Linked DNA regions of Drosophila melanogaster. The protein of the gene in region 1 interacts with the protein of each later gene in a pairwise test. Each region holds a gene or a part of one and is shown in the gene's direction. Other genes may lie near its edges.

Region 1 (9,110 bases):
CAGTCAATTGAAAACGGAACCCCAACAAGTGTCTCCAGATTGGTGGCGATATTTTTAGCTAATTAATTGCGGGCAACAAAATGACCTCAATCTGAGATTTTGCCAGCCATAAGTTGGCCCATAAAGAGTGATTGAAGGAGTGAAAGAAAAATCTCAGCATCCCCGGGATTTCCCTGCAGAATTCCTGGGCCATTTCGCCATTTCCATCACCATAATTGCCCCTAAATAGGTTAAGGCCCTCGATACGGGCAGACAACCCGGAATCGCCCCAAACCAAAACCAACGTGTTTGGCATGTTAAATTGTCAGCCGAAACCCGCATTCCGGTTGGCTTTTTCCCCACCCACCAGAATGATTTATACGAGACAAGCGCACATATATACATATACATACATAGATGGAGCGCAAAAAATTGATGACAAGCATTTCCGGGCTGCTCATCTGACATAATTTATGTAAACACTTACCTCCCAGCAACAAAAAAGTTTTGGGGGGTAGATAAGAGACTGCCGGACGACTGCCGACTGACCCCCATTAGCTGGGGAAACTCCACTCACTGCTCGGCAAAACCATGGCCAGACATTCCGCAGGACGTTCTCCACACATTACATTGACAGTTCTTGTTTATGGCCCGTTAACGGGGCGTATGCGTCATCTGCAAAGTCGGGGGATTATGTGCGACTTCTTTAAAACGCGCTGCGCAACAAAGCAAAGTTCAACTTTTTATATGTGTGCCAATAAAAATCCAATTGAAAACGCAAATAAGCCAATAATTTGTCGTTCTTTTTTTTTGTCCCGCAGCAGCGGAAAAATGTACAAAAAAAAAATTGTCTGTGGTCACGTTTGATTTGTTTTGGTAAATGGGCCAAATGAGGTTTATGCTTTTTTAACTTTGTGCTGAGGAAAGCGATTTTCTTTACCGGGAATTTCACATAAATTCAGACCAACCTTTTCTGGAAATGCTGAACTCCAGGGTGGATTAATAACGTCATTTAAAATAGTATTTTTATGATAGTTATAGTTAACTAGCTATAGGTAATATATAGGTAATTTGATTTAAATTGGTTATCACAGAAAGTTTTCAGGGGCTTACAGTTGTAGTACAGGGTATTAAAAAGTCATCAGCTGCGCTTAAAGTTAATCTTCCCATAATTTTTTGGCCGCTCGCCTAATTTATGTGCTTTGCTTTCACTTTGCTGGCTTTCTTTCGTCGGCCAAGTTTTGTTTACGTCTGCTTAAAGTTGTCCACATTGGCTCTCAACCTTTTGCAATCGCCATAAATTATTGCCTTTATCCAGTGGCCCATCTTGGTTTAATTGTTTTGCAATAATTGAATTCATTGAATTCATCCGACAAATTGCTCTTGGCAACCCGCTGCTACTGTGTGTGCATATGAAACATTCACTTTTTGCACCCAATGTGCTATCAATGAGTTTACATTTGCCATTTAAACGCATCTGTCGATATCAAGGAGAAAATATTTCCAAATGAGTGCGGACAGTTCCCACAAATACACAAATACACTATCCATGGAATATGTTGCCAAATTTGTTGAGTTTCAATACACAATTTTATTGTGAATGGTCGATTTTGATATCTTAATCATTTAAAGTCTAGAGATGAATAAATGATTGCTGATTTCAAGCTTTGCCATAATCGTATCTGTAAGCTGTTTTTGCAGAGTAAAAGAGTCTTAGCATCGTCAAATTTCCATTTGCATACTTTGCTTTTATTTATGTTGGAGCACATAAATATTTATCCACAGATTCGGCCCGACTGACAATCCCGCCCACATATCACAGCACTTATCACATCCGCCTGCTTTTGGGCATGTGTGTGCCATAAATCGGGGGATTACGATCGTGGGAAGGGGGGTTTGGACCCATGGCAGTTTATTGAATCGGAATTCACAAAAATTCAATCTGCATGTAATTTGGCATTATAGACAGACCCTTCCCATTCCGCCATGCGGAAGGAGCAGCCAGTCTGACCCCCGATGAATGGGTTATCAAAATGTTGACCCGCCGATGGTCATTTGATGATGGGCAGCTGTAAGGAGATTAAACATTTTGTGATTTAATGTAAGCCCAGTGCTGTCCATAATTCGCTGCACGAGCTGTCCCAAACAAAAGACTCTTCAGCTGGACACCGACTCCTCCACCGCTTGCCCGAATGTGTCAAAGATTTTTTATTCGCCGCTTGGCGATATGTGGGTTTCTACGAGTTAACGGGGTCATCGACCACGTCGGGCGGATACACCTCTAATCCCCCCGCAATCAACGTGCAAAAAAGTCCACCAAAGTCCACAAAGAGACTTGAGCAGCCAACAAAAAAAAATATGGCAAAAAATGTAGTTCCAGGGGGCACCCGGATTTGAACCGGGGACCTCTCGATCTGCAGTCGAATGCTCTACCCCTGAGCTATACCCCCGACTTGAAAATGGCGAACTCAGAGCGCCTTTTAAAGTTCCCTGATGCGATAAAATTTCGCCTTTGCATTTATCTTAAAATAGAAATGAAATCAATTTGGAACAGAGTGACTGTTCCGCGAAACTGTGGGTGTGATTCACACGACGAATCTCCGGCAACTTGCAATCTTATCTGCGAGTAATGTGCCCCACCAACTCCCCGAACTTTCTCCTTTCGCCCGCCCCCTCCCCCAAAAGCAAACTGATAGCTAGCTGCAGACGGACGGACTGACAGATGTTTTTGTCATCCGAAAATAGCTGGTAACTCGAGCCAAGAAACTGAAACTTTCTCGGTCGCAGATATGCAGGTCACAGACGTCAGCATTGATATTGAACTTTTGGGCCACTTTGGCAAGTGTTTCGCAGCGACCTCTGAACTTTGCCTGCCAAGGGGTGAAACTTGCTACTCTGTCGGATGCACAAGAGCGATCGATGAGTGACAGAAGCTATTTCGCAACTTGAACCCATTTTATTGAACGGACTTGAGTGACTAATTAGCTGCCTATAAATGGCTATAATAGCACAAAGTTATACTCAGAAAATAAGAGCAATAAAAGGAGTAGAAGTGATTAATTAGACAGGCATAGATTGCCATAATAGAACAAACTGTTATCAAGACAATTAAAGTAAAAACCAGGGGAGTTAAATTTGATTTGGATGGCTTAGGAAGAATCGTGTAATCTAGATAGAGGGAAGGGGTTAAGTTTGCATTTCATTTCCGCATCGCTTTCCGCATTGCTTAGAAACCGAGCGGGCTTAGAGGTCTGGCCGACTTCCGGCGTGGGCCAGACGTGCTGGCTGGGTGGTAGCCACTCCAGACAGACACTTGTTCCCCCCCGTGTCAAGCAACCAACGACCTTGCCGCAACACGCTCCACATGCTGGCTGCATAAGTCGTTGGGTATTATATATAAATGCAGGTCTACCATCGCTCAGACAGTTTTATGTTCTGGCCAACGTGGTGAATCGAGTGCAGAAGCTCTGTTTGTGGAAAGCGCAGAAAGAAACGCCGAAAAATGTCGCAGCTGCAACTGCTGCTCCTCGTCGCTTCGGCCTCCGTGGTCCTCGCGGGATACAGCTCCTCCACCGACGAGTCGACGGACGCCTCCAACTCCATTGGCGGCACCAAGTGCGACAAGAACCCGCTGAACGAACTGACCTTCCAGCTCAGCGGCAGCAGCCTCCACTGGCCCTGCGAGTCCACCAAGAACATCTACGTCCAGTCCGGCCGCTATGTGCCCCGTAACGTGATCGTGACCCGGGCCCAACTGCAGCGGGACTCCGCCTTCGTGGCGCTGCCCAGGTACAAGCAGGGCGTGCCCTTCACTCTCGGCAAGGTCAATCTAAAGAAGGGCGAGTGCCTGACCAAGATCGCACCCTATCCCTGCTGGGCCATTCAGGAGGAGGGCAACTGCCAGGCGCTGCAGTCCGTCGTGGACATAGCCGTCGATCAGAATGTGAGTGCAATTAACGCCAGTATTGTTTGGACCATTTTTTTTTTGGGGGTCAGACAAGTTGTCTCGTCCAAACTGCCAGTTCTGCCTTTAATTACGGACTGCTCGTTGTTGGCCACCATGGAGGCATAGCACTTTAACCCACACCAAATGTTTAATTCATATTTGTATCGTGGGTGGATTACAGGGTAGCATTGAAATGCTCTTAGGGCTATTCACTTTTTTTTTCTAAAAATGATTTAGTTTATCTTCTGATATTGATATTGATGTGCAGTCGCAGTGTTAAATATTTGCTAGCCCTTACAAAGTCGATCAAAATCGGGAGTTTAGCTCCAGGGTATCGTTTTCGCATTAACCCCTTGCCGGACGCACTTTTTTAATTGGTTAGCCTCGCTGTCGACCAAATATTACTTTTTTAATCAAATAAACGGGGCCACAAAAGTGAAGAGCTCCAAATAAAATTCATGCCCGTCAATTGGCGGCAGCAATTTAAGGGTAGAATAAACGGATACGGAAACGCCGAAAAAGCTGTGGGGTAAATGGAATATTATAAAGGACAAGGACTGCAGCTGAAAAGTGACAAGCAAATGCAGTGAAAAGTTCTCGAAAATAATTTTGGAAATGCTGGGAACAGGCCATCCAGCCGTGTTTTGTGCATTTCGATTGCACTTCAGAAGTTCTCAGCTTTAATTTTAAATGACAGATGCATTCGCAGATATTACAATGATGCTATTAAATATTTACATGACCTACTTACGATTGCGAGCATAAGCTGCAACTTAATAATTTCCTTCAATTATTGTTGGCGTCGAATCGTTCTCATTTAAATGCCATTCCCGTTTAGCTGCATTTATGCAAATCATTTCTTTATTTTATTTACACAAAAGTCGACGAAACAATAACAAACGGCAAACAAACGAGGCGACTGTATTTATTTATTTGCGCAATTTTCCATTCAGTGCTTTTCGCTGATACTCATTTTATGGCCACATATTTGCGAATGTGGAATTTTTAACGCCGCCAACATTTCAATTAGCCGCCAAATGAAAACATTAACAACAATCAACACGAGCTGCAATTGATAGCAATTAATAATTGCCTTCTCCGTTCGCAGGGACTTCTGTGGGCCTTGGACGTGGGCATTGTCAACACCCTGGAGCAGCCCATCCGCAGATGCAGTCCCAAGATCGTGGCCATAAACACGGCCAACCACAAGGTGGTCAAGAGCATCGACCTCAGCGACCTGGTCACCTCCGAGAGTCGGCTGCAGTTCATCGTGGTCGACTACTCCAAGGACAACAAGCCATTCGTGTGAGTTCCATTGCCTATACTCTTTTATTACCCTTAACTTCATCTGTGAAATGAGTTGTACTTAATCACTTTTTGAAATACATCAACTATGAAATTAATACCACACATTACATTATTATTAACCATTATTACTAACCATTATTTATCAGCACAATGATATTCAGAGATTCATATTGCAGTCATAAAATATTCGTTGAAATCATCGAACTGAATCAAGAGTTTGGAGTACTTTTACCACACACTTTCAATCATGCTTTCAATCAGCGATCATTGAGCCAATCAAAAGGGCATTAGCCACTTTGAGGCTCATATCTTATCTGCTCAAGGTAGTTCTCAGAAGTGTGGCTCATCATATACCAAATAAAATCGATTTGTATTGCATACATGATATCTAATCTCATTCCACATTATATTTCCTTCACTTTCAACCATAGCTATGTGGCCGATGCTGGAGCACGTAGTATCCTGGTATACGACATCACCGGCAACAAGTCCTACCGCATCGTCCTGCCGAAGGCCACCGCCCCCACCAGCGATGTGCTGTACGTGGCGCTCACCTCGAAGCCGGACGGCACCTCCACCCTGTTCTTCAGCTACCTGAGCTCCCCCCGTCTGTACTCCATCAAGGGCGAGTACCTGCGCGTTGGCCAGGGAGCGGGCTCCATCATCGACGTGGGCCCCAAGCCCTATGGCAAACAGGCGGTGCTGCTGGGCGCCGACGGCGGCACCTCGCTCTTCTTCCGCTACAAGGGCGAGAACGACATTTACCTGTGGGACTCGGAGACCTGCTTCAAGGCCGCCAATCTGCAGGAGGTGCAGCGGGGAGGCGACTGCCGGCTGTCCACCCAAGTGCTCCCGGGTCACAAGCGATTCATGTGGGCGCTGGAGAGCAACTTCCACGATTTCATCTCGGATCGCACGGGCTGCAACGGAGCCTCGATCGTCCTGCATCCTGTGGTGCGGGAATGTGACGATTGAGTCCGTATCCCTCCACTTTCTTAGGCTTAAGATTCAAACTGATTTGTTGTCGTTACTGGGTCTCATTAAAATTTTGGTGAATATTTATAGTTATTTGTAGTTTATCTTAAAATGTTCAGAATGATTTCAATTTTTTAAATAGGCATTTACTTGAATCAATATTGGTACCATGAAAACAATTCATTACTCTGACTCTGATTGGCACTTTCGAGTCTCAGCATTGAAATACTGTCCCATTGGACAGCTGTAGATCTGCAGCTGGTGATCGATGCATATGCAGTACTCATCCTTGGTGGAGACATTGGGACAGCTGAGGATCTCAAAGTCCGAGCACTGATAGATCCTATCAGTCACGCAGGTCAGGATCTTAGGATCAATTTGGAAGCCGGCGGGACAGGTCATCACCTCCAGTTCTCCATCGACGCACTTGCAGTACTCGATCTCAGAGGTTCGGAAGGGGCATTGGTACCTATCGTTGTTCATGCACGTGTGGGACTCCATCGCCTGAATGCTCCTCATGCTCCTGGTGTCGGGCACACAGCTGTAGCTGTTGAAAACGAATCCCTCGTGGCACTTCATCATCAGCGGATACAGCGAATTGGCCGTGTCATTGACGCAGACGTAGAAGTACCGATTGTCGGGCGCCCATCCACCCACTTGTCCCGACCGACTGCAGGTGAACTGCTCCTGGATGCACTGCTCACTCTCCCGTGGCAGAACACAAGTGCCCGTGAGTGTGGAGTAGCCCGCTCCGTTGGAGCAGATGCGAGGGGTGTCCACACTCTGATCGCTGCACTCGTGGTACCGCCTACAGTCGTACGGATCCGGGAACAGGCCCGCCTGCTGACAGCTGAAGGGACCTCTCTTGGGCACCTGGCACTGCGACTGGAAGGTGCATCCGAAGGTACCCTCGTCGCTGCAATAGAAATTGTACTCCGATTGGCAGCCCAGCATCGAAATCGTTTCCCAGCTGCCGGTGGCATCGCGGATGCAGTAGCCCAAGGTGGTGCAGTTCATGCAAACGAAGCCGGGAATGCGCACATCCTGGCAGGGATTATCATTAGCCCACGCCGATCCCAACGCCAGAGCGAGCAGGATTAGACAAACCGGTACTGAAGACCTCATCTTGAAGACTGTTGGCTGGGTCATCTGCGGGACTAGCTTTTATAGCACCACCTAATCAGCCAGGCAAGTGTCTTTTTCTTAATTAAACAGATAAGCTTCTCTAGGTATTATCGATTTGATAAAGAACCAAAATTTTACGACGTAATAATAAATTTAGAAAACTTACTAAGCGTAGCTAAAATTGTAATTATTCGAAGAGTATCATCGAAACTGCGAACTGATAAATCCGGAATTCATTGAAAATAGTTTAATCAGTTTTAATCAGTTTTATTCCAAGATAGGCTAGCTACAATAACTATAATATGTTGGGTCAACAAGTTCCAGTAACGCACGCAAAGGAAATTAGATTGAAGATGGTTCCTACCGAGCATCTGAAATACTCAATATCACTGCCCTTTTCGCGACAATGATAGTACCCAGAGCAGTCAGCGGGATCACCAAACAATCCAAGCCGCTGGCACTTTCCAGACGAACTGGGCAACTCGTCGTCATCAGATCCTGTGTTCAGGCAAATCTGCAGCTCGTCATCAAAGGTAAAGCCCGTTGGACAGTAGTTAAGATGCCATTTGCCATCGATGCAGAGGCAGAAGACATCGCTTGCCGTGCTGTTAGGACATGGGGATGGAGTATAATCGTCCTGGCACTCAACGCTTCCCACCCGGCAGACCAATCGGTTGGCATCGAAGTAGGTTCCTTCAGGGCATTTCCAGATCTGAAGGTGCTTATCTTTGCACACGCAAAACTCGTCCATTTCTGTGGCCATCGGACATTTGCCGATTTGGTGATTGGTACAGCTGGTAGTGTCTGTAGATACGCAGGCTTGGATAGTTTCGTTAAAGTAGTAATCATCTGGACAGGATTCAGCAGCTGCATCCAATCTGAGCTCCAGATAACTGCCGTTCCCCAACCCTTTTCCCGTTTGAAACAACAGAAAAGTTAGGAGGCAGATAATCAGGCGAGATGAATCCATGTTGCAAACTTTCTAAGTAGACCTCTTCACACTCCGCCTTATATAGTACCTCACAACCAAACGCAGAATGTTTCGGTATAATTAATAGATAAACTGCAATGTTGTCACGAAAAAAACATTCTATGGAACATTTATGACCTAGTCACAGCACTCTTAGCAAGAAAGAACCAAGACAGTACTAGTCCATTTCTATTGCACTTTTATTGGAAAAAAACAAAGAACTCATTCTGGTTTAATTACCCACGGACATGGTGGTTGAATCTTTATTATCAAACTGATACCTTTTGAAATGGGAATTCATAAATTCATGTCAAATAGATTGTTATTCCAGGGTAAACATGAGTTGTTTATTAAATGTAATCCATTGAAGAGGAATAAATAAAGTGCAGGAATGCATCTTCCTCAGCAGCTTCCCAGGACGCAGGAGGATAGCTCCGGTCGGTAGTAAGTCCCATTGGGGCAGTCCATGTGCCGCAGGGTGCCATTTAGAGCCGAGCAGTAGTAGTACTTCCGGCAGTCGTTTCCATCGGCCATCAAGCCCACGTGCTGACAGGTGTTGGGCAGCACCGAAAAGTCGTCGTCGTTGGGATCCTCGATGATCACCGAAGGATCATCGGTGCTGGGCGGCAGGACATTCGATCCGCTGCGGCAGACGTAGTCCACGAAGGTCTCGCCATCGTTGCACCTGTGCAGCGAGGGGTAGATGACGATGGTGTCGTTCAGGTTCTGGTTAACCGTCGACTTGCACACGTAGAAGATATTGGGATTGGTGGGCCAGGCGGCCACGTGTCCGGCATTGGGGCAGTA
Region 2 (7,621 bases), on another chromosome or scaffold:
ACGCCATCGCATATCCTGCAAATCCTGTTGCAATCTGCTGCGTGTTTGTAATACTACCACCAAGGCCACTGCAACCAAAAGGCCTGGGAAAAGAAATTCTTTATCGAACATCGTCTAGCGTGCTAACTGCATTTGGGATCGCTAAGTGAAGCTGGGAAAACGCTTTAAGTGAAAATCGATTCGAGAGGCTAATTGTGCGTGAAGCGACTGTTAAAAATCGCATTTAAATGTGCGGCCCTTTCGTTTCGGTGCAGACACACACACACACATACACATGCCCCAAAAAAGTGGCAGCTAAAATTGAATTTGCCCAAAAAGAGCTAAAGTTGCATATGCTGACCCACGAAGCGAGTTGCACGTTAACTTAATGTTAAACTTTTTTTGGCCTCTGCCTGCCACACGAAATGAGAGCACAAAACACACATACACACACACACACACAGATGCACACTGAAAACAACAACAACAAAAAGTTGAACAATCGTAACGAAATAATTGAATTTTCATTTCCGTTTTATGTGTTTACTTCCGCTTCATGGACGCGGCACCATTTTCTCCAGCTTTTCCGTTTGCCCTGTCCATATGTGTGTGTGTGTGTGTGTGTGTGGGCTTGGTGATTTCGGCCTATTTGTATACAAAAGGCAGTCAATTTCTGCCAGCTTGAGGAAACTTTTTAAGTCAATTGTCAAAAAGTTCTTAACATCTTTTCCCCAGCCACGCCCCACTTTTGTGGACTCGGTATGGCTCTGTTTCTGTTTCATTTTCGCTGCCAAAATTGAAATATAATTCGGTAAAGTTGCGCCTCTTTTCGGTTCGGCTTTTCCACTTAGACGACGTTTGGATTTGGGCCATAAATCAATGCCAGGCGAAAGGCGTTCGACTGAAATTGATTTAGAATGCGTGGAATGGGCGTAACTTCTTACGGTCGTCAGTCAAGCTTCTGCACTAAAAACAGTCCGAAATGCCAGTGCATTTTATAGTTTGGCTGCAAATCACTTTTCAAACTCTTTGACACGCAGAAAAATATGTCACACTTTCATAAAGCTAAGAAGGAAAAGGCATGATATATTTTAAAACCTATGTAAACAGAATTATATGGCATTATTAAATGCAAAAACAAGAAGACTATTTACTTTAACGATTTTTTCCCATTAGAAAAATATATCCAACTTAACTCACAGAAGAAAGCACCTTTAATAGATCACAGCTGAAATTGTGATTATCATAAAATCAGCATAGAATGATTGCCAACCGGTTTTATAGCAATAACCAGCGATTATGCTAAAAGACATCTCCGTCAGACTCGAAGTCAAATCCATCGAGCATCCAAGATGATCAACTATAGCGGTTTTGCATATTTGATGCACTTGGCATAAACTTAATAAACTTTGCCCCCAGTTACAGGTTATAAACCCGGCGCACCAAACTCGTAAAGATGGAAGCGCGTTAAAGTCACTGAGCCACAACTCGTTGTTTTATGACCAACTCGATGAACTTGCCGCTCCCCCCGTTTGCCATTTCCATCTGGTTTTGTCTAAGCATCTGCCATCATTCTGGCTTTTGTTGCACCATTTTTCACTATTAACAGTAGCCATAAAAGTAGCGTTTGCGCCAATAAAACTTTTGACATGTGGGGCAGGAGGGTTTCCTTAACGTTTTTTTTTCTTACTTCTAGCCGGGCCAGGTGTTACCTTCAACCTTTGCACCTGAGCTTCTCCAGTTGCGTCTGCTGGTCCTGCATCTCCACTTGTCATTTGCCACTGTGGCCCCAGCTACTTGCTACTTGCCACTTGCGCATTTAATTAAGTTTACGCCGCGCTGCACACGCAAAAGGACGAAGGACGTTATTAATTAAATTCCTTTATACACAGGTTAAGCCAGCCATCCCCTCCACCACCTTTCGCCTTTGTGTGTCAACAATTGGAATATTAACGAGGCAACTAATGAAAGTTTACAAAGCCGGAGTCTTTTCCGCCGAAACAAATCGAAAGGGAAACATTTAATAAAAGTCGCACTCACCGATTTTCCGCCCGAGATCAAAGCAATTGCTAGACCAGTTCCCCTAGCACCACTTGACCCACACGGCGGATGCGTGATTTTCGCTACCAATTATAGTGGATCGTCTTGGGAGCCTTTTTGCAGTGTCTGCGTGCAAATCCCGCCGCGTTGATGCACTGCGGCAAAGGTTTCGGACCCCTAATAAGCCACGACCTTAACGGACTCACACATCAAAGCAAGAGCACGCACACCCACTTACACACTGGCTTATAAGCCCCAGACACGCAGACATATGCAAAAAGGATATGTATTAACTGTACGCATTTAAGCCGCTTGTCGAACGCGCACAAATCCAGAAGGGGAAAATCGACTTTTATTCAATACACTCGAAAAATCAACTTTGGCAGATAAAAAACGAGAAGATGAAAACGAGACAGCAGGATGGACCGGAAAAACGGGGTTTTCGAGGAGTGGGGCTACAATATGCGAGTATAAATGTGCAAATCCCCAATGCAGCAACAGCTGCTGCTCAGCCACGCCCCCTTTCGACCCCCCTCCCCGCCTTCAGTGCACTCGTTTGGCATTTACATTTAAGCTGATAAGGAAAAGTGCCTGCTCCTCGGGGTCCCTTGGTTTACCGCCTCCTGCACCCCAAAATCCACCTGAGCGCCAAGTCGCCTCGAAGGGCGCACACACACACACACACACAAGCACATCGAAGACGGCGATGAGAATTGTTTGTTGAAAATGTCGCCAGTTTATGAAATCGCGTGCGTTGGCAGCAAGGAATTCACATTTGACGCACGCACTTTACATTATTAATGCCTAAAGACGAAGGCGGCAGAAACAAGTTCAAGTTTTAGGCTAAAAAAACGGGAATCGAGAAAGAAATACCCTTTTGAAAGTAACCAAAATTCATTTGATATATAACACAAAAGAAGATATAGTTGTTACATTTTGAACAAATGGGAAATTATAGTTTAAGTCAATAAGTCAATCCATGCAGATTCATAACCTATATTTCATATCTTCGATAATTCTTATATACCTTTTATATCAAAAGTTACATGGAGTAGGTGAGTAGTGCTGTGTGCGTGCTTGTGTGCGTAGAGAAGCATCGATGTTTTGGAAAATGCTCCTGCCATTTCGCAAATGTATCGCATTTCCGTTTGGGTGTTTGCACTTTTACGCTTCGCTGAGAATTTTCCAATTTTTGCTGCTAATATTTATTAATCAAGTAATAGCTACTCACACGCAGGCACACACTACGTGTATGAACACTTGAGCTTGTGCCTGTGTGTGAGTGTGAGGTCGCTTGATTTTTGCACGAAAAATTGATTGGAAATTTATAAGCTAAACTTTTTCCACTGTTTGCTTTTGTTTGCGGCCCACGAAACAAACTTTTTTGGTGTGCGCGGTTGTGTTTTGTTACTTTTTTTTTTGTTTTTGTACCATTGCTGCCATTTGCAGCACTTGAAAAGGTCGCCACAAATGGAAGTGAGTGTGTGTGGAAAATCCCCATCAGAAAAATATTGAAATTCGATTTTTTTTTTCGTACTCTCAGTAACCTTTTACCAGGTCCCCAGCTGTCTGTCAAAGCCTCGCCATGAGGCAGGAAGCATTTCGAATTATTTTCAGTACAAACTTTGTGCCGAGCACACCTAGAACCCACTCCAATCAAATAAAGTAAGTTCAAATTGTAACTATTCTGGTGGAAAAAAATCTACAATAAATATTCAACTCTGAGAATATTTGTGGTCACTTTTCACTTTTTCAACTCAACTGTCTTCCACAGCGCTGCCTATCATGCAATACAAGATGAACTACTTGCTGATCCTTGGGTGTAAGTATACGTTAGTTTTCAGTACCATCTAGCATGCAATTATTTATAATTAATTGCGTGTATTTCAAACGCATCCATTGTTTTGCTTAAGGTGTCCTCATGTTGATGCGGCCGATGTACGGCGATTGTCTGCGCATGAAGCGTTCTCAAGGCGATACTGCAAGTGATTATAATGAAACCACTACAATGGACAATACTGCTTCACTGAGCGGAAAAGCCACCGTGTTGGCCAATAGTACCATTACCACCGCTAACATGACTGAAGCCGCCACATCTCCGGAGCAGAAGATTACTGCTGGACCGGTGCGCAGTATGGGAGTTCGTGGAAAAACCACTAGCTCCACAACCACCACCGCATTATCATCATCACTTGCTGCTGTGGCATCCACATCCTCGCCTCCGGATGCCGGAAAATTTCAGCTAGTGGAGGATCTGCTGGGACTGCGCCGTCCCAAGAGGCGTTTGGGTAGCCTGATGGACGACAGTCTGCAGCCACGACAATTGCACCACAAGCGTCGCCCAGCGGTGGAAGCTGCTGCTATGGCCACCTCATTGCCACCCAACCCTAATCCCAATCTTAATCCCAATCCCAATCCCAATTCCAATCCCTACGTGTACTACAACAAGCTGGTTTCGCCAGATGGCAAGCACGAGATAAAGGAGTTCGAGCTGCTGGCGCCCAACATGATGATTGAGAGTGTGCAGCAGGAGCTGAACTACGGTCCGGAAGTTCTGCCACCGGAATTGGCCGGAGTGCTACTGCTGAATGCAGCCGAGAACACTCCACGCGGACTTCATAATGCAGCACCACTGAAGCACCATCGCAAGCATAAATCCTCGCCGGCTGTGCCACCGATGCTCTACATGCTGCAACAGCTGTTGCAGCCCAATTTCGAGGGAAATCTCTTGCTGGAACCACCAAAGGAGCCACAGCGTCACGTTAGTTCACCCCTCTATCAATTCCTTGATGGCGCCATGGATCTGGCTTTGCGCAACAATCCCGATGTCATCGATCACCTGCTGGGCGATCACCTAGAATTGGAGCTGGAGATGGAAAAAAAGAAGGGCATCAAGGATAAGGCACTAACGAAGAAGGCCAAGAAGGAGGCACAGAAGATGGAACCCAAGGAGGAGCTCATCGTCAGCTGTCCCATTCACCATGAGCACCATGCCAATCGTAATGGCGACGTGGTCGAAGATGATGTCGTTTTGGTGAACGAGTGCCATCTAGTGTGAACCTGAAACGGGCAGCTGTCACAATGTTTCTTAAAAATTTTAGGTTACTTGTTTTTCCGCATTCTTTTTTTTATTTTTTGTTGCTTCAACTGGAAGATGTTTATATTTCTTGCATATGTAAGGAGTGGCGAGACCATTTTTACTTTGTATACAAAAAACAGACAATAAAAACTAAATACACATCATAATAACTATGTTCAGCGGAAGAATATAAAAAATCAAGCTCGAAAGTTGCAATATAATCCTTCGGGAATGCCATCATCGAGCAGAATGGCCATTGTTCCGCCCGTAACAAATATCAAACTTACGCTCCAATCGACACCCGATCCCCTGGGTGGCCTTCTCCTTGAAGTTCTCCTTCGTTTTCATTAACAAAATCGATTTCCTACCTTGAAATGTCCTGAGGGGAGAGGTGGATGAGCGGGAAAATTGATATGCCGAGTGCGACAGTGCAGCCAAACGAGCAAACAAATCTAACATACAAACCCTTGACTGCGGATGAGAATATATCCTCCATTTATAGCAATACATGTGTGTGTGTGTATGGGTGTAGGGGTGGGACATAGCGAACGGAGCCGAAAGGCAAAAGTTTTGCCGGCTGCCACTGCTAAATGCTGCTAATTTCGTATACAATAAAACTAATGTAAATTGCCACTTGACGTTCACTGGGCGTGTAAGTGTGTGCCATAGTATGTGCAAGTGTACTGGCTGCACATACATAGACATTAAATGGGGCACATAATGTGCCGGGAGTCAGGAATCGAGAATCAGAATTCAGGCTTCAGGACTGGGAACACCAGGGAAAGGCAAGCCATTGAAATAGCGAGTGTCATGGGTGCCTGGCCATCAGCATAAATACAAATTTGCTTCACAAATCCACGTATATAATCTATATAAACTGCACTAGATGCCAGCAGTACATCTACATGTGCCAAGCGGAAAAGTGCAACGCAGCATTCGTAAAATTGCGTAGCTCCTTCGACTTCAAGATACATTTGGAAAAATAGAAAGAATGGAATAAGATTGCACAATAATTATATTTGGAGAGTGGTATAAAGATTTAATTATTTAATTAAATATTTATAGTGTTTCATACGTTAACAGACATAAAAATATAATAATTAAAGGACGTACTTGCTTATTTCTAGGAATTTAACATTTATATAATAATTTCTAGTACACTCAAAAAATATCTTATATTTGTTATAGATATAAAAGTAAGGCAAACATTATTTCTCTCTCTGTGGTGGCACTGCCAATGTCCCTGGGGTGTTAACTGGAGTGTAAATGCGAATGTATGTGCAATTCCCGCTGCTAAGTGACCAGGCCCCCTCCAACATAGACCCTCGCACACATATATATTTATTTACAAGTGTAAATAATAAATGCTTGCATCAGCCATTCCGCATTCCACTCAACTCCAAGGTCCTGTCAGCACTGCAAGTGCATTAACTTTTGCCACACTTTCGTCACCAATGCCATTTTCGCTTTAAGTTGACATCTGCGTAAATAGCTTTAAGTTGCGTACAATACAAATATAAATATAAATATAAATATAAATTTCGAGAAAGGCAGGCGGCGACCACTTTCGCTAATCTCTTTGCTTTTGAAATTTATGGCTTCATTATGAGGATGACAAAGACGAGCGTTGCCAGGACATTGCCAGGACTCTTCTGTCAGTCACTCGCTCTGTCTGGCTGTCGGTCTTTCGGTGCCTTTGTTGTTAATGTTATGGTTGTCATTTGGAAGCTTGTAATTACGTTAGCCACAAGTTGTTGCCAAAAGTTGTAATCTAGATTTCATAGTCAAAAGGCGACAGGCAACAACATAAAATTCAATTGAACTGTTGAGTCAGCAAATATCAAATGAATGGCAATGGTGCCTTTAAAATGCCGTTAAAGTCATGGCCCAAGTATCAGGAATCTGCTCAGTAATATATATAAACATTTTTTGGACAACTAAGGGAAAACTTTTCGCAAATAACCAGCAAATAAATTGCTGAATATAAATTGCAAAATCAGTTTTGCTGCTTTTAAGCTCACTCTGGCATTATCAATTTTAAACGAAAAGTGTTTTACTTAACTGGTTTGGCGTTTTTAAAGTGGTTTAATGGTAATTCGATAACCATAATTTGTATGCTAATAAATACAGCAATTGCTGTTAGGTAAAATCAGTTTGGTAATACTTAAATTTGAATGCAAGTGAAATACATTTAAAATTGTTTTTATTGAAATTAAGTATGTTAAATTGGTGTACAGATTGTTGTTTGTGTAAATTGATTTTTTAAATCAATTTTAACATCTTTTAAATATGGTTAGTGTTGCTTAGTTACGCAGTAGTTTTTGTTGTTTTATATATTTCTGAAGAACCTATTATTAACGTAAATATGTGTGTTGTAGGTAGTGTTATTTTTCAAACACCCTGCAATTGTGTACACATTGTTAATATACATTACCTCACTCAATTCATTAAAAATAAATTAATCAACTTATTAACCACTTGGCTTTACGTTAAAGTCAAACGTTGAACTTTGCAGTGCGGCTC
Region 3 (7,370 bases), on another chromosome or scaffold:
GCGGAGTCAGGGTTTTATTTCGTTTTCATTTCGCACTGAAAATATTTGGACTTGTGTGTCAGCCAAGATGCAAAATACCCCCTCCCGGGGAGGCACCGGCAACCACCAGAAATAAAGCAAAAAACCCAAAACACATTCCCCCGATAAAGGAAGTGGACTCCGTTTTCACACCTACACGCTAAAAAATACATACCAAATTGGGAGCGGACGACTGCAGTGTGTGTTTGCATTTGTTTCTGTTTCTGTTTCGGTTACGCCACATGCACATGTCGGGAGATCGGCAGAGATATGCATTGCGTGTATATATGTATATGTATATATATATATCCCCGATTTGGTGGAACTCGGCGGCACAACCCGTTCCATTCTGGTCGCTGGCCTTTGGTCATCCTGGCGTATCGAAATGGTTTTTGACTTTTGCCGACGCCTTTTGTTTTCGTACACCCTCTATTTTTCCTGGCTACTGCATTACACATGCCGCTGCCAAAATTACGCCGAATTCACAGCTTATGTCTTGCGTCCGCCATTTCAATTTGGGATTACAGCATGTCCTTATGTCCTGGCATTTTCAAAAATGGATGAAGTGCATCGCCGAAACTGGCCATCTCTCCTCACTCAGCCGCTTGATTTATGGCCCAGAGTATCTCGATTCACGAGAAGCCAATGGCGGAGGGGGATCCTAGCGAATGGGAGCCATAAAAGTGCGGAGCGATCTTACTCAGATCACTCACGAACGGGATATTCGTTTATTGTGCCCATGCACAGAAAAAAGAGAGTACAGAAAACTAAATAATGTATTAAAAACCTTAAACAATTATATTCCATATTTGAGGGAGTATGTTAAGATCCAACATTTTTTCTCTTTTCTCATGTGCAATGTATATTTCTTAAGAGTTCCAAGAATAAGAATTTCATATTATATGTTACTTAATATTATATTATTATATCATTAAAATCCTTCGATTTCTTAAACTCAACATTTCGTTCAGTACCTGGCAATATGGCTGCTAATAGGGTCCAGCTCGGTTATACTGCCGCAGCTACAGCCCAGTTCCTCGTATCTTAATTGGCACCCAGAGGAGGTGGCTCGTCAAAGCGGCAGCGACCCCTATGGTTATAAAAAAAAAGAAAGATACCGGATAGCCCCGGGCCTGGTCCGGCATAATGCCCAATCATCTCGACGACCATCTGCTTACAGCTGCTCCCTGTTCTCTGATCGCCGAATCCCGATCCCAGGTCCAAGACCCATTGTCCTCGTCTTCCGCTGCGTCTTGCAGCCATAAAAGTTTATGGCAGCCGGGAAAAGTAACGAAACATTCGAACTTTTGGTGCCGTTAACGAAGCCTCCTGCTCTTTCGATTCGATCCAAGATCAATTCCCAGTGGAGGTTGTATGTCTCTATTAGCGACGACAATGGCGGACGGAGGGCAGCATCCAGCGGAGACGGCCTGCAGAAGATTGTAAATTTTATACCATATACGTCATACAGAAATGGGTGTACTGGTGCACTGAGGGAAATCGTGCCCTCGGATGCCTTTAAATAACTCTTGAAAAGCTGAAGAAACATCCTTTTATTTTGTACTTCAATTTAAAGAAATCATCTATTGATCATCTTTTGGAATCTCTTGCTTTTACCCATTAATTTCTCTGAGTGCGTATAAAATAGAAGAGAAATATCAGCCCAATCAAGCTGTTTTAAAAGGAATTCCCTCATCTGAAGAGTCCCCTAGTTGAACCCACGACTCTTCTCTTTTTTGAATACACATCTTCGACTTTTATGCATTTATTGCTGTGAAAAAATGTTAATTCTCGACGTTATATTTTTATTTGACTTTTACATATCGATCTTCTCGCCCTGAGATCTCCATCTCCATTCGACCATACATAGTTGGCTCTTGGCCATCCTTATGGCCATATATTGGACTGACTGAATTGGTTGATTCGCCTCGTACTGGTCTACTGTGTATTAATTGGTCAAAGGCAGTAAAACAGAAAGTAAACGTTATAAATCAATCGTGGTATGAGTTCTTTTGAACTCTTCAAGCGGCAAAATTCACAGGGAACTGAAATGATTGTATTAACAAATAAGTCAAAGGAACGATGCTAGTAAGCTAAAATCGATGCGAGTAATTTGTGTTTATTCTAACTTAATTTATTTATAGACTTATAGATTAAATCACCATAAGTTGCATCCGAAAGAATCGCATCTCAAAGTAATAAAAACTAACGATATTTTTATCAACTCGACGCCATAAATATGCCCGTTGCGATATTCTTATTGTAAATTCTCGAATTGTCTGCTGATTAAATTTACTTATCATTTTGTCAGTTTCTTAATATAGAATTCATTCATTAAAAATAGGGCTGATCTTTTAAATTATCTAATACGTTTTTGTATCAATACTATAGCTATACATGCTATAAACTATTTGACTTTGTATTGCAATGCTCATCCATACCAATATTAAAATGATTAAAGTTGTAAATTACAAAGCAGGAATGTAGTTCGCTTTTTTCGCACTGTAAAATTCAGTAAATGGGCATAAATCATAATTTACGTACTACCTTTTAGTCTAAAGTGAAGGTGAAGATCCATCCATCCGGTTGATGTTTCCATTTGGATTTTCAAGTTCAGATTGGATAGGATCGGATCGGTTGGCCGGAGACAGTTTGGGCTATTGTGTGCGGGAGTTTGATTAACACAACATCCACTGGCCGAATCTTTATTAGTGACCATGCACTAATTAAGCCCTGTCGTGTGATTTGGTCTCCTCGCATTCGCATTCGTTCGCGTTTGTCACTCGATGCAAATGAATCGCGTCTCTGTGGAGCAGAAGATCATAAAAGCCGCTAAAAGGTGTGGGTGAAAAGAAAAACAAAACCCCGGCCAGCCAGCCAGCGGATTCAGTTCTTTTGTTGATCGAATTGATTAGAGCTGCGGCCGAGATCGATACGTTTGTATATTTCGGATGTGCGTTGCTGGCCAGCGAGGGTGTAATTAATCACAACACTCAAGTTCGTCACTTGACCGAAGTGTTAAGTGCGCTAATAACGCCAATTTGCATAGACCGACTTTTACCCATCAACACGATTACAATTAAAGTGTATTTCAAATAGTGCTGCGTTGTTGCTATATATATAGAAATATTTTGTTTAAATAATCAAATTGGATTGGAAAATTTGGAGTTCATAATTTCAAATCGAAATTCACTTGTCGGACATGCCGCATTTTTGTACCCTGCAATGGTTTGAAACCGAGCTAAAATTTATGTGGGTCAAAATGGATTGAATCCATGTTAGCATTGTCTGGAGCTGCCATCCTGATTTCTACACATGTAAAGAGTTGCCAGTCTGGTTTCTACACTACTGGATTCTATTCTAGTCGATAAGTTGCTTTCTATTCGATTATCTTGTCAATTATCGTCGATATCGAGTAGGCATCGACACAAGTACCAGCTCTAATTCGCACGGAATTTGTTTGTCATTCAAGAAACAATTATAATTCGCCGCATTTTTATTCTAAAAGCGCTTACGAATATGGTAAGTACCTCGCCGAGTGCATTTAGTAGAGCCGCTAACGAAACGAAAACCCCTCGCAATACAGTATCAGCCATCACTGAAAGTCCAGCCCGCCGAGGTGTCCGTGCTGAACGCCACCGGCCGTGTGGGAATGCCCACCGAGGCCAACTGCCTGAACCAACTGGCCCACGTCCACCGGCTGCGCGACTCGGAGCTGAACTACAACGAGCACCAGTACAACCGCAACATGCAGATGCTGCGCAACCACGAGGGCCTCGGCGTGCCCCTCAAGATGGGCATGGAGCGCTTCGCCGCACGTCAGGTGGGCCGCCTGCCCTTCCTTTCGTCCAGGTGAGCATCTAGCCCGGTCTGGGAGCTTCTCAGTCTGGACAGGAATCTCTGCAAGGGCGGAAGCATTCAGAAATCTTCTGTTTCCACATTATAAGAATCCCGGAGAAACCTGAGATATCCTACAATCTAGAAAATCTAAACTTCTTGCCTAATAATGGATACCTATATACGTACATACATACATACGTGTATACCAAGTATACCTGTGATTCCCATAGTACCATTATTACCGAAAACCCAGCAATGACTACTTATCTTCTATATTAATTCTTTCCTTTATATTGCAGCAACTTCATGGACGATGTCCTGACTGGCCGCTGTGATTCCATTGGCTTCGAGGACTTCATGAACTTGCCCGAGAACAGCGAGCATATGCGTCAGCCCCACGCTGTGGTGGAGAAATCTCTGGGAATTTACCAATAAGTCCCTGCAAATGAAGTTGCTAAATGCCTGGCATTCAGCCTTTAAACTCTAAGACACTCTTAAGATCAGCAAATAAAATATATTTTGGTGCGACCAGCTAGAGGTAAACAAAATTCACCATTTCTTTGAGCCAAATTTATTCGTATTTCGTTTGTTTAACTCCACATCAATACATTTAACTAGTTCGTTAAACTTACACATTTTATTCAAACAAATCTAAAAACTACACGAAAATATTGGCAGAAGGTTGTTGTACTGAGGAGATTCGTTAAAATAATAAACTGAAGAGATATGCGTTGACATCATTCATTATTTGTAAAAATAAAACAAGAGATGGTAAAATGGACGAATTCGTTTCGTAAAATTAGGCTTATACTTAAGGAAAACTGAATTGTAAACGGAGGGCGCATTTCAACTTATACAAACATTGCATATATACATGATTTATATTTAAAGAGGAAAATGACAGTAATTGAGATAAACATAGTTAATAAAACGCATTACATTCCTCAAGCAAAACACGTCTAATCAACAATAAATATTGAAATCGCTAGCGTTTTAAATGCTCTTCGCTAAATTTGTATTGTGTTGCGAGTTTAAGCTTCAATTACTGGAATTATCCCTTTAATTGTGATGATAGGCATTCGATTTTTATAGTATATATTCTTCAATATGCATAAAGGCGCAATTGCAAAGGGTCATGGGATTCTAGTAGATCCAGTTGACAGGCACCCACTGCTCCTCGTGGCTCATCTGATCCAGCGTTTCCACCACCTGGCGGAACGTCTCATCGAAGTCCTCGTTCACGATGACCATGTCGAAGTATTTCTCATACTTGCGCTGGACGAAGCTGCTCTCCTCGACGGTGGCGACAAGGTCGTCGTCCTGTTCGGAAAAGTCATAGAAAGCGAATGTGTTAAGCAATGTTTGGGTATTCAGGCAGAGATCTAACAGGGCTACTAGGGTGGCCTAGGTGCGCCAAGCGGATGATTGAGTTGAGCACAATTTATACGACACTGTAATTAAGGATAGGTCAGGGCACATTACCTCATACAACGACGCTAGGGACTCGAGCGTACGGGCGCGTCTGGAGCTGAATCTTATGGAACTCTGGCGATCAAACTGTGGAATATGTGCTCGCATTAGAGGAGTGCCTAGTCTAGGGGGCTACGTGAAACATACAGATAAATTCCGGTTGGAGCCCGTGGCCCTGCGATCCGCATAGATGGTCTTGAGCTGCTCCATGCCAGGCGCTGCCACAAAGATGACAAAAGGCATCAGTTCCTGGCTGTTGTGCAGGATCTTCAGGGCATTCGGTGCACAATCCAGGATGCACATGCGCCCACTGTTGATCACATCCTTGATGGACTGCAAATGCGTGCCGTACAGATTGCCATTGTGCTCGCCGTACTCCAGGAACTCGTTGTTCCGCACGGCCTCTTCCATTTCCTCGCGGTCCATGAACCAGTAGCTACTGCCGTTCTCCTCCAAGGCGCGCTTGGGGCGACTGGTATCTGAAGTGGTTCCGCGAATACAATGCATTTATGAATATTCATATCCAAAATGATAGCTTAAATTGTGCTTACGTGGAATGACCGCTCCGAACTTGTCCACATCGCTGTTGATCAGCCGATTCTTGAGCGTACGTCTTCCCACCCCGGAAACACCGATGAGAACCAGGGTTTTCCTGCGGAACGGCGGCATCCGCGTGACCTCCTCATAGAGCAGCAGCTCCGCCTTGTCGAACTCGCAATTGGCCACAGATCGGTACATGGTCTTGCGCTTTCGCTTCGAGATCTGTTGCAACACACAATGTTTACTGGGTGCCCATTGCGATACTATGAAAACTCACTCTTGTTCCGCAAATGCCAATCTTGTGAACGTAGTCCGCCTCGGGGGCCACGAAGGCTTTGCGCCGCTCCTCCAGCTCTTGGGATGGTATGAGTCCAATTTTGTCAGATTCGGCAGTAATGTTCTTGGCCTGCCACCAGTTGGGATCCTTTACGTTGATGATCTGCAATGCCAGGATGATGTACATTGATCAGGATAACTAGATGGGTTGTTTTTTTTCTGACCAACTCACCTGCAAAATGTCGCCCGACTTGAAGGGCAATCCAATATCCCTGCATGGCAGCAAGGAATCTTCGGATGGATTGTATGTGAAAAGGGCACGCATGTAGCACTGTTGGTATATGAGAACACAAACCTTGTTACTATTTAAGCATTTATCACTTTTAGTAGCTTTACTATGCCAAGATTTACTTACTTAGTTGCAAGCGATTTGAGAAATTTCAAGGGAATTCGTTGTATGTTTGTCTAATAGTAACTTATTGCGTTGATGATATATATCATTATTTTGAGTAAGTTGGGTTTGATAACTAAACTATTACTGCTTACAAATAAAAACGGTCATAAGTGAGTAATTAGCATACAACTGGATAGCTAAACATGTAAGTTGGCAAGCACAACAAACTAAAAACCCTTTCTGGGCAAGAACATTGTTCAAGATTCATTATTTGAATTTTAACTGGCCAATAAACTTATTAGGATAAACTTCCAACTAATCGGGGCTCATGCAAGCAAGCAGCAATCTGTGGGAGGAACCTTCAAGCCAAACATCGAACTTACCGTCAGTTTCTTGCCCGTCTCGAGACTCGCGATGCCATTCTGTTTTACCTGACCCCCACTCACAGTATAGCGACCGCTCTTGATCTCCTCGTCCACGTTCGGCCCGATCTTGAGGGTGAGATTCTCCTTGGCCCGCGACACCTCCACCTGCAGCTCATCGGGAGTGCGAACGGGCGTACCGTTCACCTCTAGGATGACATCGCCAACGTGCAGCATGCTCTGTTTGTCGATCACCCCGCCCGCCAGAATCCTGGCCACGACCAGCTGCTTGAATTCGTCCAGTTCGACGGTCAGGCCCAGCGGCTTGCTGGGATCTCGGCGCAGACCCACCATCTTGATGGTCTCCACTGGCATCTTGGTGTTGAGGACGTCCTCGGTGAACAGGTAGCCTCCCGTTTGGCGTTGGCTGGCGATCTCTAGTTGGCTGGTGGATCCCCCGGCAGCTTTAA
Region 4 (8,604 bases), on another chromosome or scaffold:
TTATGAATTGTTATAAGATATATATATGATTCTTTCGATTTAAGTTTTTGTTATAATTATTTGTTCAGTGCACCTATGCTGCGTGTGTTTTCCGCTTCTGGTGACTTTGCATATTCCACTTGGGCGGAAATTTATTAGAAGAGGTCGAAAAACTGTAAAGTCATGTGCCGAAGGACGTGCAGGACACACTTGCACACCTCCAGTCGGCAACCTGTCCCCAGATCCACCCCTTTCCTTACCCCTTTCCCAACCCCTTTGCCCACCAACCTTCCAACCTTCCGTTTCCCGATCCCGATCCTGACCGCACCGCATATATATGTACATATATCTCACCGCTCTTTGTATCTTCCTGCCACTCATGCATATGCAAATTGCACTGGCTGGCCATGTGACCCAGTTTGATTGTGGGCGTATAGCCAGCCCTCCAACCCCTCCACCTCTGCCTACGCCTATCGTCCTTGGAGCCTTGCCACCACCCACACTTCGTGCCTCGTTTTGTTTGCGTATTTTTCCCCATTTTGTCGCTGGAGCCTGCCGTTTCCCATTGTCGATTGTTTTTGCCTGTTGATGTTTTTGCATGACAAACAAAAATTATAATTGCACTTGAAATTGGCACATTGGGGCGGTGGATGGGTGCGTTTGTGTTATCTCACACGGGAATTGTGCGAAATCATTCGAGAGATTATTTCAGAGTTTCATTTCCCCACATGCTTCATGCCACAAACGGAATGTGTAGAACCTTGAACTACATAGATTGGGAAAACTCTCTACGAAGGTCAGAAAGTTTGTGAGTGATAACGATAAGATATAAGAACTGTCTGTTTTCTTAAGATACGGATACGGATGCAAATAAAATGCAGCCTTTTATCTTAAGGTTGCATTTTCAATGATGAACATATCATTGAGATATTTAGATAATACCCATCGGCATCGGTAAGGGTTCACCATTTTTTGCAATTAATGTCTTTAAACTGTTTTATTTTCGCAAAACTATATTGTCTTCTCAAAATGTGGAAAAATAATATTTTCCTTAGACCTAATGAAGTTGCAGCAATAAATGTCAAATGTGGAGGGCACATGAACAGCTGGTAAAGTAAGCAAAATTTCAATTGAAAAGGGGAGAGGATGGCTTGCAGGATGTCCAGCTCAATCTCATACAATCATTAACAGGACCTCTTTTCAGGGGCGGGGAATCGGGCTCAAACCCAATCTAAACGTATTTATGCAGATGGTTTTGAGCGTTTCGAAATGTTTTTTGGCTGGCTCACTTTTTCCGCACACAGATTTCAAAATTCACGTGCGTGTGTAGGTGTTTTTGTGTTGGGTTTTTGCGAACACATTTTTCTCCTCTTGCCGTTTTTGGACCGTATCACTTTGACAAACATGCAGATTATCCCGGAATTATTAATTATTGTATCTGCAAACAAGCCTCGCCGTCAGCTGTCTTGTCGTGTGTTCATGGGAGAGTATGCCGATATACATACATACATAAAAGAGCATTTTGTATTATGAATTTTTGGCAACCGGCAAACAGGATGGCTAATTGGTAGACCACGTGAGATTTGTTATCCAAATTTTACATAGCAACGTTGAAGAGTTTTAGTGCTTATTGGCATTCAATTAAACTTCAGAAGGCCTATATGGCACGGCTTATAAAAGAATATGTGCATTTTTCAATTAAAATTTATCTTTTTCTAAACATTTCCAATTTAAAGATGAAATACAAAATTTCTGATCCCATGTATATTTATATGTATGTATTTTATAACTTTTGTGTGCTAGCAAATACTTGCGAAACTATTGTACCCACTAGCTACTTTTCAGCACTCGCATTTTCATCCGAAAGATAAATCTAAGCTTAAAAGATTCTTTTGCAAAATGTTTGTTTTGGCTGGAGCTAAAGCTATGTTATATGAATGTTGTATGAACACATTTGATACACTTTTAAGTCGCTATACTTTGGTATCTCTGGGTTTGGCAATTTCTCCAGAGTGCTGGCAGCCTTAAGATACTTTTCAGTTTGCATCTTTTCTGCGGTTTTGCTCGAAAAGTTCTTCGAGTTTTCAGAATGTGCGTGTGGTCGCCATTTCCCAGCAATACCCCGCAGTTTTCCCCCCTCCGTTGGGTCAATCACTTAATGCGCCTTTAATTTGCATGGCCTTTTCTGCTTTTGGCCCCCAAGTTGCAGGGAATGAGCCGCTAATGTGTTTCGGTTTGGTCCCCGGGTAACAGGCAAAGGCAAACATATCACTTGACACGCCTAATGAGTCTGGGAGGGGTGGACTTTCCGGGGGGTTGGGATTTTCCGAGGAGCGAAGCATGGATATTACCGTTAGCGACTTTGACTAAGTTGCGGCCAAAAGCATTTGTCGCTGCTGCTGTCGACAAATAACTATTTATAAAGAATTTCCCTCCGTTCTGTAAACAACTTGTAAGTGCACAGAAACAAAAAGTAGTTATAATATTTTTGATTATATTTGATGATATTTATTGTAAAGAAATAAATAAATAAATTTTAATTTTTGTTACATTTGGTAAATAAAAGATATATATAGAACTATATTAGGCCCTTAGATATATTACATCAAAATTCCTTTAAGTGTAGCCCATTCAAAAGATAGGCTTCCTCATTTTCCACTCTCCACCTAATTTTTTCATCTGCTTTCAGCAACTGGCACAATGGAATTGCATTGAAAACAAACGGTTAAGAATGTTTATAAACAAAACACAGAAGGAATGCGGTGGGTGGATGGTGGAAAAGTGGGCGGGGCTGGGGCCAAAGTGGCGCAGAAGGTGAAAGTATAACGATAAACGTAAACAGTAAGTGGAGGTGCGAAAAAAATGCGTAAACACAAATCGCATTGCAACAAAAAAAGAGTGTGCACCAATCAGCAACATGTTGCTAAGACACCAGCAACTTCTACGGCAATTGAGCGAGAGAGAGAGAGAGTGAGCGCGAGAGAGACCGAGTTCATTTTCGAAGTTCAACTTCGAAAGAGAGTACTTCTTGGGTGATATGAGAAATAACATTGAATTTTCATGCCGGCTGGTGTTGTTGTTATTGCACTTTTACATGCAGCTGAAAAACAGCAACAAAGAAGAAAAAACCAGGAAAATGCTGAAATCGCTGCCTCCCCCTGTTTTCGCCACCACTCCCATCAGACATTGACCTTGATAGTGGTCGTTGTTTTTGTTGCTCTTCTTCACTTGATTGAACGACAAAAAGTTGTTATTTTTGCTTACCGGTAAAAAAAATGGTAATCGATATGATGAAGTATAATTTAGTTTTATTGGGACATTTTCGAATGATACATTTTTAATGGACAGGTGCAGAAATTGATACACTTAGATGAGTAATTTAATGAGCTTATTATTTAAAAAACTAATTGCTAAATCTGTTTTCAAAAATCAGTCATACTTATTATCGCTCGACTGTCTTTAAATCTGCTTTAAGTTTTTATGTGTTTAATAAAAAAAGAAATTAATCCCCAAGCTTAAGCAACATGAGAAATGTTGAGTTACCATTTCAACATTATGTGTTCATATTTTTACAATGGGCTTGGCTTTTCTCAAATATGATTATGATGTTTATCATGTTATTGACTGTCACAATATCACAGCCAAGGAACTACCTATGTTTTCCTGAAACTTTCCATAAATCGTCTTAATGGGCTCGGTAGATAAATAAAACGAGAACAAATAGCAAATACATACAAGTTTTTGGGTGACACTCAAATATAATTGGAATTGATTAGGAATTAAAATAATACTTTTCAACGGTTGCTAAACTACATGATTGTACATCTTTTGGGATATGTACATAAGAGTTCAACGGCATACGATTTTAAATGCAAGGTAAACAAATCGTAAACATTCTTTGGTTGGAAAAGACAGAGCTAGGTGTGCACTTTTAAATAAAAATGTGCCAAGCAATATTTAAAGTAAATTTTTTTATGATTTTATTTGTACTTTCGCCAGCAACATGGACAATTTTCCAGCGCCAGCGAATGTCAACTGCAACGAAAATGTGCGAAAATGCCGATTAGAACGAGCCCGAATGAGTTCATCCTCTCTCTCGGGAAGTTCATTTCCCCGAACTCTCTCTCTGGATTCGGCAGCGGCAACCGATGTCGATGTTGCTGTCGTGTTGTTGCCGCTGCACATGTTGCAGATGTAGCTGCCGTCGTCAGTCGCTCGAAACGAATTTGGAATTCAGTTTTTGACTCGACGTCGCAGGAAACGGACGTGAGTGTCTCGCATGTTGCCACAATAATCGAAAAGAAAACTCTGAACGGAATACGAGACTTTTTTCAAGATATGTGAATCACTAGTGGATTACTGAAAACGAAAATAAATACCAACGAAAATATTTACCACAAATCCCAAGCAAACGATACGCGCGTCGTGCAAACTAATAATAATAAATCAAATACCACAAATATTCTGTGTTGAGTGATACTCGAAAAGTTGTCAAAAATCAAAGCGAAATTCGCAAGCAATACATTGGATTAACAATTGGCTCGAAACCGATTTGATTAGCTAGCAAAAGACAAGCAGAAACAGTTTATCAAACCACTTGACAAATATCCGTTGGACTATAAAAGCAGAAAAGCGGGTAAGTGGGCAGGGAAATGGAAAATGAAAAATCAAACCTGGATATGCCGCTGAGAAATTGAAAACTTTTACGCACCGGATTAGTTGGCGATTTTGGGTTGAGCTTCTGTAGGCGAGTGACAATCTTCTTAGCAAAGATCAACGGAATTTCCCTTTGATTTGGGAATTACAACATTAAAGTATGTTTTAAAGTTGAGTTTTCTAATCTTCAGAGTGCAGTGCTTACTAATTGAAACGAACTGAAAAAAGGCATTCCAGCGGAGTGAGGCCGTAAAAAACGAGATTTATAGGAGGAAGTTGGGGAATTATTCAAATAAGCAAGTGAAGGATTATATCCGATTCCAAACAAAATTCCCCGAAAGTGTGCGTTGTGTCTATCGAACAGATATGTTTATCCATATAAAGTTACGCCCGAGTGATGAGTGATTTTTGTGGAAACAGCAGATAGCTGTGCAGCTATCTGCTATCAAGCCATAAAGCACAGAACTCTTGTGGCGACCCATGCGGCTCCATCAGAATGTAAACAAATCATCTCTGGGTTTCGCTGGAGCTGCGGCTTCTTCCCTTCTTCAAAGCGTAGAAACCGCCAAAGAGACGAGAAAATAAAGAGAAGAAAAGACTGCGAGGGACCTTTAATTATAACCAAATACTAGTTGAGGCGACACCTTTGTTTACCTGCATTTTCGAGCGCTGTGTTTTTCCATTCTGTAAATTTGTTTAAATTATTAGCAAACGCGCAACAAGTGCAGCCAGTCGAAGTTCATTATTTTCCCCAATTCTTTGGCGTGTAAATCCTTTGGTAAATAAGTAAAGTATACCCCGCCTGTCGTCGGCGCAACTCATAAATTCACGCAAAATAAAATTTATGCTTATGGCTGGAGCTGGGGAAGTCGGACAAGAAGATGTACGAAGGATCGCGATAAGATCTGGTCTTAAATGAGTTGTTAAACGGGAATCGTGGTCGCCATGGATATAAATAATAATAACAACTCAATCTGGAGTGGCGTGGGTAGCTCGAAAAGTCCTCGGACAAGTGAACTGTTGCTTGCGGTCACAATGATTCTGGGTACTGGATTTTGAATCGATTTGAATCGTGTGAATGGGAAGCATTCTACCTGTTTGGCAAAATGAATTTTAATTCGGAATTGAGTCGTACACATGTCGGCCCTTTTTCACAGGATTTCCGCTTGCTGTTTAGCCTTTTTTTTCGAATGAAATCCCTCGGCTAATTAGTATGCCAAGCGTGTGCCCCTGAAATTTATAAGCCAACTGACTTTTCTCTGTAGTTGAAACATAAATTTCAGTAAAAGTGTCGTCTGTGCACTAGAGCACAGCAAGAAGTATAGGCCTTTTTATAAACTTGATGTGCCAGTGATGAATATTTGAGTGCAGACGATGACTAAAAATATCTTATTTGCTTTCTGCGGCAAGTCTGCATCAAAGAACTAAGTTCATTGAATAGGCCAACTTATGGCAATTCCTAAGCTACTTACAAGGTAAACTTCGCTCAGACCTCAAACAGAAAGTATCTTATGCAAATAAGTCGCTATATGGCGGACAGAAACAAAACATTCGCGCAGGAATATTAAGCAGTAAGAAATTGTAAACACAAAGGAAAATATTTGTTATACGCTTGTAAATTTATAGCGGCAGCAAAGTCCAGCCAAGCAGAGGAAAGCGTAGGAAAAGCGAAAGCGCACAGAAAAGCCGGGGAAAATTCAGGAGGCTGTTTTTCACGCTCAGCTGCCCGGCGGCCGAAGAGGAACTGGCGAAAAAGGAGGAGGCGAGCCTGAATAACAAAAAAAAAACTTTATCGCAGTGCTCGCAGGACATGAATTTTCCCCTCATCTCCCACCACTTCTCTTTCAGCCTTAATGCTGAGTGACATTGATGTGACATGCCGTCATCTTGCCTCTCCTATTGCCCACCAATCTTTGCTTTATTTAAAAGTTTTTCCTTCCCTCGCATTTTTCTCGCCCAACGCCTCGGGGGCGTGGCAAGTTGTGTTTGGTTAGTAGAGCACTTACACCTTGTGGAAAACAAGGCACCTCGGGACCCTGGCCCTCGCAAATAATAAATGATATGTAAACTAAGTCAAAAGTTGCCGTAGGTTGGGTAAATCACAACTGAGGGGCTAAAATCCGGGCCCAGATCCCAGTAATTTGTGCGTGTGGCCAGGCCCTAAGGCATTTCCATAGATTAAAGATGAAAAACTAGGGAAAAACCGGCTTTAATGTAGTTTAAAATGCGTGCAGAATAAATCAAGGAAAATCAGGACTTATACTACAATCCTGGACAAGCTACTGATAGGACAGCAATTAACATTGAAGTAGTTTAAACATAATTATAGTATCATTCACCAGTTAGACAGTACTTATCTGAATCTCATAAACCCTCCAAGATTTCGCAACCATTATTTCCGAGGATAATTCCAACTGTCTGCCACATTTGTTCCACTTACGAGTCCGACAATCCCCCGCTGTGATATCAATGCCCTAACTATAATGTCTCAATATCCGAGCGACCAAAAGTAGAACGAGTGCGACAGAGGAGAAAAGCGAGATACAAATTCTTACCTGAGCCTGGCTTTCCATGGGCCAGACAACAACGACGCACCCATATCAATTTCCTTCGTGCGACCCAAACGAATTAAAATTACACATAGACTGGCGGTCAAAAAAAAAAACAAAAAAAAGTAGAGAGGGAAAATATACCCAATAGACGGTAGGGATTTCGGAGATCCTTTGCCTTGAATCCGAAGGCCTGTCGCCAATGCCGGAGAACATTTATCATGGCAGCTAATAAATGCGTTTCCCTTACCTGACCGACACGAACCCAATTGCAATTGAGCCATATAGCCTATAGCCACATAGCCATATAGCAACCCCCGATATGAGGCTTGACTTTTGGGCTGTGTCCATCTAATTTTACTTTTTCCATTCTCTCTCTTTTTATTTTAACAATTTCCCAATCAAACAATTCAATTATGAAAGTGTATAAATTTGAGCCAGCTGTTCTTGTACTTGAACCGCAATTGTCTTTGTCAAGTAGTGGAAAGAAGTTCTCCCGGAATAAATCAACTGCGAGTTGAAAGTGCGAGAAAGTGAAAGGAAGACGGGAGAAATTGCATTCATTTTGGGGAAGAAATGGAAAACCCTTTAATTGGTCTTGAAGTGTTTGAGTTATGATCAGAAGGGGCAGGGAACTCGTAATCCCGAGCCGATCCAATTCTATTCGATCTTAGAGACAGCTGTCCTATAAGTATGGCCAGCTTTAAAGCAATTATCCGAGTGGGCCCGGCTTTAAGACAATTATCTAAGTGCTTTTGCCCCTGCCTCTGATTTTGGGTCCATTCATTCTTATCGAAACGAGTTGCCCACGCTAATTGCCCACCGAACTCCTGCACCTGATTCGGTTAGGACTTTGATTTCCATTACGCTTCCTTTTGAGCCTGTCCATAACATTTCCGTTTTACGCTTCAGTTAAGTCCGTTTCTTGGCCGAAAAGGAGGAAGAGTAGAGAGTTGGGATTGGAATAGGGATGGCATGGAATGGGATGGGATACGAGCAGTCGACTTAATCTCAAAACAAATCGATTTCGTTGACTGTCTGTCTTGCGTTTGGGTTTTCTCGGGACTCCCTCTGCTTAACTTGGCTCTTTTTCAACACGATTTATTTCATTATTCTCGGCCGTTGTTTTTTTTTTTTAAGTTTTTGTCTGCTCAAGTTAATCACCCAGACCAGACAATTCAATCGATTTCCAAGAGAGCCCAGCCGTAACTAAAGCTTTAAGTTTTGCTGAGTACATTTTCTTGAAATTCAATCTTGTCTTTGGAGATTTCTTTTCCGTTTTTATTTCGATTTTACTTTTATTTTCGTACGATTTCTTTTGTTATTTATTAGTTTGGTCTGCGCCGGACTTCAATTCAATTCAATTCAATTTTCTTTACAACATTTCATCTTTGACATGTTTTGTGTGTCCGTCGGACTG

The links.
Region 2: the proteins of yellow-g (region 1) and CG15109 interact in a two-hybrid assay, tested with the Drosophila melanogaster proteins (one large-scale study listed by BioGRID).
Region 3: the proteins of yellow-g (region 1) and Pomp interact in a two-hybrid assay, tested with the Drosophila melanogaster proteins (one large-scale study listed by BioGRID).
Region 4: the proteins of yellow-g (region 1) and pxb interact in a two-hybrid assay, tested with the Drosophila melanogaster proteins (one large-scale study listed by BioGRID).

Annotation. Positions count from the first base shown.
Region 1 is NT_037436.4:2,267,063-2,276,172, reverse strand, and holds yellow-g (yellow-g), read left to right. Parts: upstream 1-3,403; 5' UTR 3,404-3,481; coding exon 3,482-3,922; intron 3,923-5,033; coding exon 5,034-5,230; intron 5,231-5,664; coding exon 5,665-6,208; 3' UTR 6,209-6,292; downstream 6,293-9,110. Other genes in the region: CG32302 (uncharacterized protein), read right to left, coding at 6,392-7,333; obst-I (obstructor-I), read right to left, coding at 7,644-8,303; CG13806 (uncharacterized protein), read right to left, coding at 8,706-9,110.
Region 2 is NT_033778.4:19,055,803-19,063,423, forward strand, and holds CG15109 (uncharacterized protein), read left to right. Parts: upstream 1-3,618; 5' UTR 3,619-3,684; intron 3,685-3,793; 5' UTR 3,794-3,816; coding exon 3,817-3,841; exon of another isoform or gene 3,842-3,932; coding exon 3,933-5,077; 3' UTR 5,078-5,263; downstream 5,264-7,621. Other genes in the region: Gpxl (glutathione peroxidase-like), read right to left, coding at 1-111.
Region 3 is NT_033779.5:20,784,246-20,791,615, forward strand, and holds Pomp (pomp), read left to right. Parts: upstream 1-3,410; 5' UTR 3,411-3,537; coding exon 3,538-3,540; intron 3,541-3,604; coding exon 3,605-3,870; intron 3,871-4,157; coding exon 4,158-4,293; 3' UTR 4,294-4,853; downstream 4,854-7,370. Other genes in the region: vari (varicose), read right to left, coding at 5,002-5,178, 5,341-5,415, 5,476-5,807, 5,880-6,090, 6,146-6,307, 6,377-6,475, 6,922-7,370.
Region 4 is NT_033777.3:15,661,972-15,670,575, forward strand, and holds the start of pxb (pxb), read left to right. Parts: upstream 1-4,211; 5' UTR 4,212-4,615; intron 4,616-6,006; exon of another isoform or gene 6,007-6,206; intron 6,207-6,261; exon of another isoform or gene 6,262-6,705; intron 6,706-8,604.